Linked DNA regions of Caenorhabditis elegans. The protein of the gene in region 2 interacts with the protein of the main gene of each other region in a pairwise test. Each region holds a gene or a part of one and is shown on either strand. Other genes may lie near its edges.

Evidence for each region. Proteins that work in one complex are often made in the same cells at the same time.
Region 1: the proteins of sydn-1 (region 2) and ssup-72 interact in a two-hybrid assay, tested with the Caenorhabditis elegans proteins (one study listed by BioGRID).

What each region holds. Positions count from the first base shown.
Region 1 is NC_003280.10:6,775,496-6,778,427, reverse strand, and holds ssup-72 (RNA polymerase II subunit A C-terminal domain phosphatase ssup-72), read right to left. Parts: upstream 1,353-2,932; 5' UTR 1,352-1,352; coding exon 1,269-1,351; intron 1,225-1,268; coding exon 1,078-1,224; intron 1,007-1,077; coding exon 877-1,006; intron 829-876; coding exon 595-828; 3' UTR 539-594; downstream 1-538. UniProt on the Caenorhabditis elegans protein: Protein phosphatase that dephosphorylates 'Ser-5' of the heptad repeats YSPTSPS in the C-terminal domain of the large RNA polymerase II subunit ama-1.
Region 2 is NC_003279.8:2,376,572-2,383,398, reverse strand, and holds sydn-1 (Synaptic defective enhancer 1), read left to right. Parts: upstream 1-1,547; coding exon 1,548-2,386; intron 2,387-3,693; coding exon 3,694-3,840; intron 3,841-3,891; coding exon 3,892-4,006; intron 4,007-5,622; coding exon 5,623-5,764; intron 5,765-5,816; coding exon 5,817-6,310; downstream 6,311-6,827. UniProt on the Caenorhabditis elegans protein: Acts as a negative regulator of nuclear pre-mRNA 3'-end processing (mRNA polyadenylation). Plays a role in tissue-specific expression of protein isoforms by regulating differential processing of pre-mRNA 3'-end (alternative polyadenylation).

The DNA of each region.
Region 1 (2,932 bases), on a different chromosome or scaffold from region 2:
GCGAATATGTGATTGGAAATTACGCAGAATGTGAGAACTTTCTCAGAACGAGTTGTAAATAAATTTTATATAGATATAAAAATGCAGATGAAACACTTCGTAAAGTAATATAAAGTCCTGGATTTATGTTTTATGGGGACGAAAAATTGTGTGCCAAAAACGGAATCCGGTCTCAGCACGAAAATTTTTCGTGAAATACAAATGCGTATTTTAAGATTACTGTAATTTCAAAATTTTGTTTCTTTCGAGTGTTTTTCACGATTGCTTTCTTACAATTGGGAAAAAATTATAGAAACGCGTACGAAAAAATTTCCTGGTTGGAATTCGGATCATAGTGGAGCCAGAAGATCCTTTTGAAATATAACTTATTCGCTGATTTGGAAAAAGTTATGAGATGAGAATGATGGTCTGGTAAAATGTCCTCAAGAATGCATGTAAAAAAGAAAACGAAGAGTGAGCAAGTTTTGTGCGGAGCCTTATTGAATATGAATGTGTTTTCCCCCTTGCGATTATTATATGCAAAGTTATGAACAGTGTTGTTTTTGTTGGTTTAAAAAAATATCATCGTATAATAATTTAATTAACATTGAAAAATTAATAAAAACATATTGTGTGGAGAAGGTTTCTTTTTGGATTATTCTCTTCGAGGTCGGTGATTATTTGATCTATATCTTCTTCGAAGTCTTCAGATCTTTCGAGCTTTTCGCAGAGATCAGCTACGAAGAATGCTCCAAATGTAGCTTCTTCTGCGTTATCTTCAATGTCGATGTTGATAACGTGGACTGGGTTCCCAGATTTACCAACGCTGCGGTTTAAGAAGTCTACGACCTGAATAATTTTAAAACATGTTTGCGTTCATTTTTTTAATCAACAGACCTGATCGAAAACTCTTTCTTCCAAACAAAGAACAATGTCGAATTCACGAGTTTCTGCTTGAAATCGCTGTGGGCGAGATTTGATTCGTCGATTTCGGTCAACCATATGAAGAAGTCCGTTTTGTGTGTATCTGAAAATATTCAAATTGGAATGAACAACAATTTTCAGAATATTATTTCAAAACTTCGAAAAAAAACTAACAAGTGAAGATCTTTGTTTGTTAAATCCGCATAAATGTCTTCATACGTCGTTGGCCCAAACTCATAACAATTGGGCTTATCTACTGTTGGTCCTGGCATTTTCACTTGATTTCCAGACCCATACGATTCGATATTGAAGCCACGTTTTCTGAAAAAAAAATCCTAGAATTCTCAGTTATTTCAATAGCTTACTTTAAGATGCCATGTGCTTCCATTGAACGATTCATATTACTGGAACAACTGACCGCAAAACGAAGTTTTGATGAATACTCCATTCTGAAAACATAATATTTGTTGAAAATGCATCATTTGAGAACAAACAAAAATGAATTGAGTAAATAGGTTTTTAGTAAATCTCATAATATATTTTTCGATATAATTTTGTCAAAGAAAGGGCAAAAGACTAATAATTTGGTGATAAACTGAAGAAAATAAAAAAAAATCATTCAAACAATAATCGTCCGAGAGGAGTACGCGTCCATAATTTTCTAGGCCGCCGCATGGAATGTTAGGCCCTCATTGATGCGGGTATTCAAAAATAGTTTTTTGCGGAAAATGATTTTTCTTTAAAGGCACGAGATATACGAAAATGAAGAAATGAATATTTACAAAATATTAAAATTTTGAGATTTATTTATCGAAACAGAAAAACTTGCGAAACCTACTTCTAAAACGCCGACTTTATATGAAAAGTTACAAATATTCGTAAATACTGTAAAAATCCCAACGCACGGTCTCCTCGGGTGGAAACAAAGAAGGAGGGAGATTGCTTGCGCGTTTCACCGATGCGCCTTTCGCGTGCTGGCGCATTTCTGGATATCTAATTATTTTTGCAGAAAAAATACATTTATGTTATGAATTTTTCTTGAGAAAACAAAGGAAAGAAGATGAAATGAATTTTTGAAATAGTTTTCTCAGTTAAAAAGAGAATACCTTGCTGCAAAAGGTTAAATTTATTGAAAAATTGAGAAAATAAGAAGTTTATCTTTGTTTTCACTACATAAAGTGGGGAACTCTCAAAAATTTGAAGACAATTAAGAAATATAATTAAATATATAGCCTGAAAGCCAAATAAGAAATGAAGGTTTGGTCACAAACAATTTTATCTTTGAATTGAAGTTTTGAGAAATGATCATGTGCCAGAATCACCAAATGTGAGACATTCAGCCCAATTTCTTTAATTTTCTGTGGTTTTATCATGGAAGTGTGGCTTTTTCTGTGATCTTGTCAGTTTTTAACAAGTTGAAAATGGAAAATCGTGAAGTGGGAAACTAGCAGTGAAGCTTTCAAAAATTTCAAGCCTTACTGAAAGGAAAGTATTGGAAAGTAAAAACGAAAGCTTAAGAAGATACCGTTTTTATACATTTGAGTTTTGAAAAGCCGTAACCTAGGTTTTAAATACAGTTTCCTCAAGAATTCAAACTTGTAACGATTAAGTTGAGGCACAGAATATGATGGTAATACTAAGTTATGTTGAAAAAAGCCAAGAAAGACTGAAAACATTGCTTTATACCTGATTTTTTGTAAGTAATGTAATGTTGAAACATTATTCTTCATAGTTCAGCACTTTGTATGGCTTATTTGAGCCCAAACGTACAGTAGTATGTGGCAAGAAATAAAATACTGTGCCAACAAACCTGGGGCCGAAAAACCCATGATAAAATGTTTTATACGTGTATTGTTTCAATAAAATACCAAATATCAACTAGATTCACTGTCTTGACTCGTTTAATTCAGATTAATAACTTTTAGCTTCTCTTTTTAACGAAAAATTATAACTGAATTTCACAAAAAGAGTTCGATCTGAGTTCTTTCAACAGGTACATAGACGAATTATATCTTAAAATGACGACAAA
Region 2 (6,827 bases):
ATCAAAAATAATGTTTTTTTCCCGATCGCTTTTTTTTCAATTCTAGCCCACCCACCCACGCATTTTTTGCAATTTTTTAAATACTTCCTACCCGAACAACCGTGCCTTTATCTCTGAAAATCTCCTCACTTTATATGTTTTGATTTTTCTCGAAAAATTCTTTCAATTCAATTCTGACGTGGTGTCAGAGTGTCTCATTTCGGCTTGATCTACGTTGATCTACAAAAAAAAGTGCGGGGAAATGGAGGCAGAGTTCTCAACTCATTTTGCAACAAAAAAAATTCCCGCATTTTTTGTAGATCAAACCGTAATGGGACAGCCTCTGGCACCACGTGTATTCTATTCTATGATCTTTTGAGCTATTCACACCAATTTACACATACAATTTTCGAATTTTGCATCTGAACTCCCTTACCTCATTGAATATAAAAATTATTTAACTTTTTTTTTTGGAAAATTTTTGTTTTTTTTTTCGGTTTTTTATCCGAATTTCTACTATTTTGGGTTTTAAAAATTTTAGTTTAAAGGTACAGTCAAACTTTTTTTTTCTTCAAATTTGGGCGGCAATTGCCGTTCGGCAAATCGCGGAAATTGCCGGTTTGCCGGAAATTTTCAATTTCGGTAATTTGCCGATTCGCCGGAATAATTCAATTCCGGCAATTTGACTATTTGCCGGAAATTTTCATTTTCGGCAAATTGCCGATTTGCCGGAGATGCTCAATTCTGGCAGTTTGCCGATTTGCCGGAAATTTAAATTCTGGTAGTTTGCCTATTTGCCGGAAATTTTCAATTTCGGCAAATTGTTGATTTGCCGGAAATTTCAATTTTCGATAATTTGCCGATTTGCCGGAAATGTTCAATTCCGGCAATTTGACTATTTGCCGGAAATTTTTAATTTCGGCAATTTCTCGATTTGCCGGAAATTTCAATTTTCGATAATTTGCCGATTTGCCGGTAATTTTTCTTTGTCGGCAACTTCTCGATTTGCCGGAAATGTTCAATTTTGGCAATTTGCCGAAAATGTTCAATTCTGGCAATTTGCCGATTATGCCGGAATTTTCAATTTCTGCAGTTTGCCGATTTGCCGGAGATGCTCAATTCTGGCAATTTGCCGGAAATTTCAATTCCGGCAAATGGCCGGTTTGTCGACTTGCCGATTTGCCGGAAATTCATTTTCTTTATTTTCGGGCTAAATTCTTCGGTTTATTTTGTTAACTTTTTCTTCTGTTATTTATAAAAAAATTTAAAAAAAATTTCCGCCAAATTGCCGGAATTGACCCTTTCTGGCAAATCGGCAAATCGCCAGAATTGAAAATTTTCTGGCAAGTCGACAAATTGCCGGAATTAAAAATTTCCGGCAAATTGTGCTTTTTCACATTTTTGATTTTTCAAAAATTAAAAAAAATTTTTTAGTTTTTTTACAGTCATATTCGGTCATTAGAGTCTATTTTCTGCCAAAAAAAAAAAAACAGAAAAATTTTTTTAAAATAAATAAATAAAATTTTTTCGACTCTCCTCCACCTATTATAACTTAATCTCATTCAGAAATGGGAGAACCTTCACCTAGTCGGCGTCGATCAATCACCTCAGGAATACCATGCCCGTCACCAACGAAACAAGTCCTACCGCCACCGCCACCAGAAGAATTGCACAATATTCTACGAAAACGGCCACGGAGCAGCGCCATTCCGACGACGAGCCAGACTCATGTGAGAGCTCCACGTAAGGAGACGGATGTTGTCGATCGGATTTGGCACGATATTGACGAGGAGCAACGAGAAAAGCTGGCTCGGCGGAAGGAAGAAGCCGCCAAGAGAAAAGAGCAACAGCCGGCTCAACACATCAGGGACTATTTGCCATTGACTGCGACAAATTTGAGGAATTTCCGGAATGAAGACTCGACGATCAGTGATTTTATACATCGGCAGGGGATGGTTGACAAGCTGCTCGGCTACAAAATGCTGCTGGGAAAAATGGAGAACTGCGGGACGCTGGGCTACGAGAAAATGAGCGAAGACGAGGTTCAGCAGCTCTCCAGGGAATGGCTCAAAAACTTTTTCCCTTCAGAGCAAGCCCACGTCGGCCCACGTACCCCACCGAGCCCCGCCGTCGATTCTGATGGTGGTAGTTATCCGAAACGGCCTCGTCGAGGCCCGAAAACTCCTCCCGGATCTCCTGGGCCTTCGATGGATCAGGCGGCCGTGAATCGACGGGAGCTCATCGAGCAACTTGCGAGAAATTTTGGAATTAGTTCGTATAAAGTGGAGGAGACACTTGGCACTGGGTTGGACAAGGCGCTTGAGGATTGCTCGAAAAAGTTGAAGAATGAGCTGATGGAGACGTTTAAGGATCAGCTGTTGAGCCAGATTGATCGGAAAACTAAAATGTATGAGAGTTGGAATATCAATGAATTAGAGAATCCTATGTGAAAAAAATGTCAAAAATCGATAATTTCCATGAAAAATCGATAATTTCTATCAAAAATCGATAATTTTTATTTCTGAAAAACTCGATTTTTGATATAAATTATCGATTTTTGATTAAAATTATCGATTTTTGATAGAAAATATCAAAAATCGATAATTTCCATGAAAAATCGATAATTTCTATCAAAAATCGATAATTTTTATTTCTGAAAAACTCGATTTTTGATATAAATTATCGATTTTTGATTAAAATTATCGATTTTTGATAGAAAATATCAAAAATCGATAATTTCCATGAAAAATCGATAAATTTCATCAAAAATCGATAATTTGAATTTTAAAAATATCGATTTTTGGTATAAAATATCGATTTTTGATTAAAATTATCGATTTTTGATAGGAATTAACAAAAATCGATAATTTCTATCTTCACCGAAAAATCAATATTTTATCGATTTTTATAAATTTTTTGCAATAAAAAAAATCTATATTTTATCGATTTTTATAAATTTTTTGCAATAAAAAAATCAATATTTTATCGATTTTTATAAATTTTTTCATTAAAAATTAATATTTTATCCTTTTTTTCAACAAAAAACTAATAATTTATAAATAGATTTTTCCAGAATAAAAATCGATTTTTAATCATTTTTTCTTTAAAAAAATCAATATTTTACCGATTTTTAATCTTTTTTTCAGAAAAATCAATATTTTATCCTCTTTTTTGTTCAACAAAAAAACTAATAATTTATAAATAGATTTTTCCAGAATAAAAATCGATTTTTAATCATTTTTTCTTTAAAAAAAATCAATATTTTTCCGATTTTTAATCTTTTTTTCAGAAAAATCAATATTTTATCCTCTTTTTTGTTCAACAAAAAAAAAATAATTTTCAGATTTTTCGAGGAAAAAAATCGATTTTTCTGAATTGTTTTTTGCGATTTTTCAACAAAAAAAAACAATGTTTTCTAGATTTTTTAAACAAAAAATATCGATTTTTAACAATTTTTTCAATTTAATGAACATTAATCAACATTGGTAACAAAATCAATATTTTATCGATTAAAAAAATTGATTTTTTATCAATTTTTTAAGAAAAAAAATAAATGTGTTATCGATTTTTTTTTCAAAAAATTAACACCACTGTCGATTTTTCTGAATTTCTTTTTTGCAATTTTTCGGGATCCCAGGGAATCGAAAAATCGAAAAATTTGTTCGATGAAACCCTCATTTAAGATATTCTTTTTAAAAAGATATTAATTTTCAGTCGGGACGATTTATCGGATCAAATGGAGCTGGTCTCGGATTGCTCACTATCACCAGATTTGATAAAAAAGGAAGAACCAGACGTTGTGTATCATATGGCAGTACCACCACCACCTATACCTCCACCAATTCAGCCACCTCCTTATTCGTAAATTTTTTCCAGAAAAATTATTTTTTATTAAAAAAAAAGTTTTTTCAGTTACTACCCAGTAGCTCCAGCTGCTGCTCCACAAGTCTACCATTATGCTCCACCACCGCCACCACCGCCCCCGCATCCCCAGCAGGGGTTATATCAGCAGAATATGATGGCCTATGTAGGTGTTTTGTGGAAGCCTGGAGGCCCGGTTTTTGGAAAAAAATTGGTTTTTTTTTCAGAAAAAATTTAAAAAAAAACAAAACATTTTGATTTTTTTCCCCGAAAAAAAAAATTCAAAAAAAAGTTTCAAAACACAAACAAAAAATTCTGAAAAAAAAAAAGACGAAAAATTTAGATTTTTCCAGTAAAAATTTAAAAAACCCCCTAAAATTTTAGATTTAAAAAAAATTAAAAAACGAAAAATTTCGATTTTTTAAAAGAATAAAATCTAAAAACGAATAATTAAAAAATTTAAAAAAAAACGATTTTTTCAGTAAAAAAAATATAAAAATGACTAAAATCAAAAAACGGAAAATTAGAATTTTTCAGAGAAAAAAAACGGATTTTTTCAGTAAAAAGATAAAAAAAGTGATACATTTTTGATTTGATAGAAAAAAATATCGAAAAACAAATTTGTTTCATTTTTTCAGAAATTGTCAAAAAACGACAAATTTTTGGTTTTTTCATTTAAAACTATTCAAAAAAAGTAACATTTTTGATTTATTTTTAAAAAAATCGAAAAACAAATTTTTCATTTTTTTTCCAGAAAAATCAAAAAACCAATTTTTAGAAAAATAGATCAAAAAACAAAGGTTTTTTTTGGTTTTTTCAAAAAAAAATTTTTTTTTTAAATCAAAAAACGAAAAATTCGAATTTTCAGAGAAAAAACGGCATTTTTCAGTAAAGAGATAAAAAAGTGATACATTTTTGATTTATCTAAAAAAAAAATCGAAAAACGAAAATTTTCGATTTTTTCAGAAAAATATTAAAAAAACGGAATTTTTTTAGTGAAAAGCTTTTTTTTTCCGAAAAATCACTTTTTTTTGAGAAAAAATACCGGAAAACGGAAAATCGAAAAACTAAAAATTTCGATTTCTCAGCAAAAAAAAACTCGATTTTTTTTGAAAGATTCCCCAAAATTTTGGTCATTTTTCTTATTTTTAGACGTTATTTGTTTTGTTATAAAGTTATTTGTTTTCTTTCAATTCTGAGAATGCGTACTGCACAACATATTTGACGCGCAACATATTAAAATATCTCGTGGCGAAAACTACAGTAATCCCTTGAATGACTACTGTAGTGTCGATTTACGGGATCTCGATTTTCGAAAATTTTAATATTCTATCGACAAATAAATTGTATTAATTCTTTTTGAAAAACGAGCCCGTAAATCGACCTACAGTAGTCATTTAATGGGTTACTGTAGTTTTCGCTACGAGATATTTTGCGCGTCAAATATGTTGTGCAATACGCATTCTCAGAATTTAATAGTCCCGTTATAAAAATTTGAATTTTTTTTCGATTTTCTTCAATTTTTCGGTTTTCCGAAGTCAAAGTGTCTCATTTTGGTTTGATCTACCTAGATCTTCAAAAAATGCGGGAGAAGAGACGCAGACTTTTCAACTGATTTCGCATGGTTAAAAACGTGCTGACGTCACATTTTCATGGGAGAAAATTCCCGCATTTTTTGTAGATCAAACAGCAATGAGACAGCCTGACGCCACGTGTGATCCTTGATCTGATCCTTGAAATCCTGGGATTCATCAATCAATTTAAGTCTACTTTCTCTTTCAGCCCCCACCTATGCAACATTTCAATGCTCCACCGCCCCCAATGGCTCCGTATCAGCACCAGGCTCCTCCATCAATCGTCCTTCCACCGGTGAACGTTCCACCTCCACCGATTGGCGTCCGAATTGATACTCCAATTCCTACTGGCAAGACATTCCGATGAGTCGGATCCCCAAATAAGAAGAATCATTATTTCAGCAGTGCTGCCGATTCCAACGATGGTTCCACCACCTCCACTGCCACCACCACAAGCTCCATTCTCTGGAGATTGCTGGCGAGCACAGCCAGCGGCTCCGGTTCCGGCCTCCGTGCCAGTCAGTTCGGCACCACCACCATCAGTGGTTGTTAATGTACAAAGTACTCTATTCTCTGCTCTCGGGCTTCATCACAAGCCTCCACCTCCTCCTCCTCCACCTCCTCCTCCGACAACTTCTTCTACTACTACATCTCACATTCCACCACCACCTCCTCCTCCGCTTCCGTTCTCTTCGGCTCCGCCACCACCGCCACCGCTTCCGATGGTCGCTGCTGGTCCGTCTCCGCCGAGCTTTGTTCCTCCTCCTCCGCCTCCGAATCCGAATCAGAATCCGTCTATCGTTTTGTCACCATCGGCGGTAACCGGAGGCGGCGGCTACCGGCATCGTGTCAATCAGTTTCCGCCGCAGCAGCAGCAGTCGTTCTCGAACTTTTGAATCCTTTCACGTGGTGTCAGAATGTCTCATTTTGGCTTGATCTACGTTGATCTACAAAAAATGCGGGAGAAGAGACGCAGAGTTCTCCACAGAGCGGCTTTTACTACGTGGCCTAGAAAAATCGAAAACTCGGCCAATGATTTATCTGGGATTTTTGACGTGGGATGTTTTTGAAACTTGACGAGAATACTCTCGAAAGGGGGTTCTATAGTTCCACCGTGGCGATTTTTGAGAAAATGTTCCGTATCGATGTTATGAAGGTGGCCGAGTTTTCTTATTTTACGGCCACGTAGTAAAAACCGCTCTGTGTCTCAACTGATTTCGCATGGTTAAGAACGTGCTGACGTCACATATTTTTGGACGGAAAATTCCCGCATTTTTTGTAGATCAAACCATGATGGGACAGCCTCCGGCACCACGTGTCCTTTCTCATTTGCCTCTCTGTGAAAAATCTGTGAATCTTGAACATATTTGAAATATCGATTTTTTTCTCTTCATTTCCTTGATTTTCTATTTG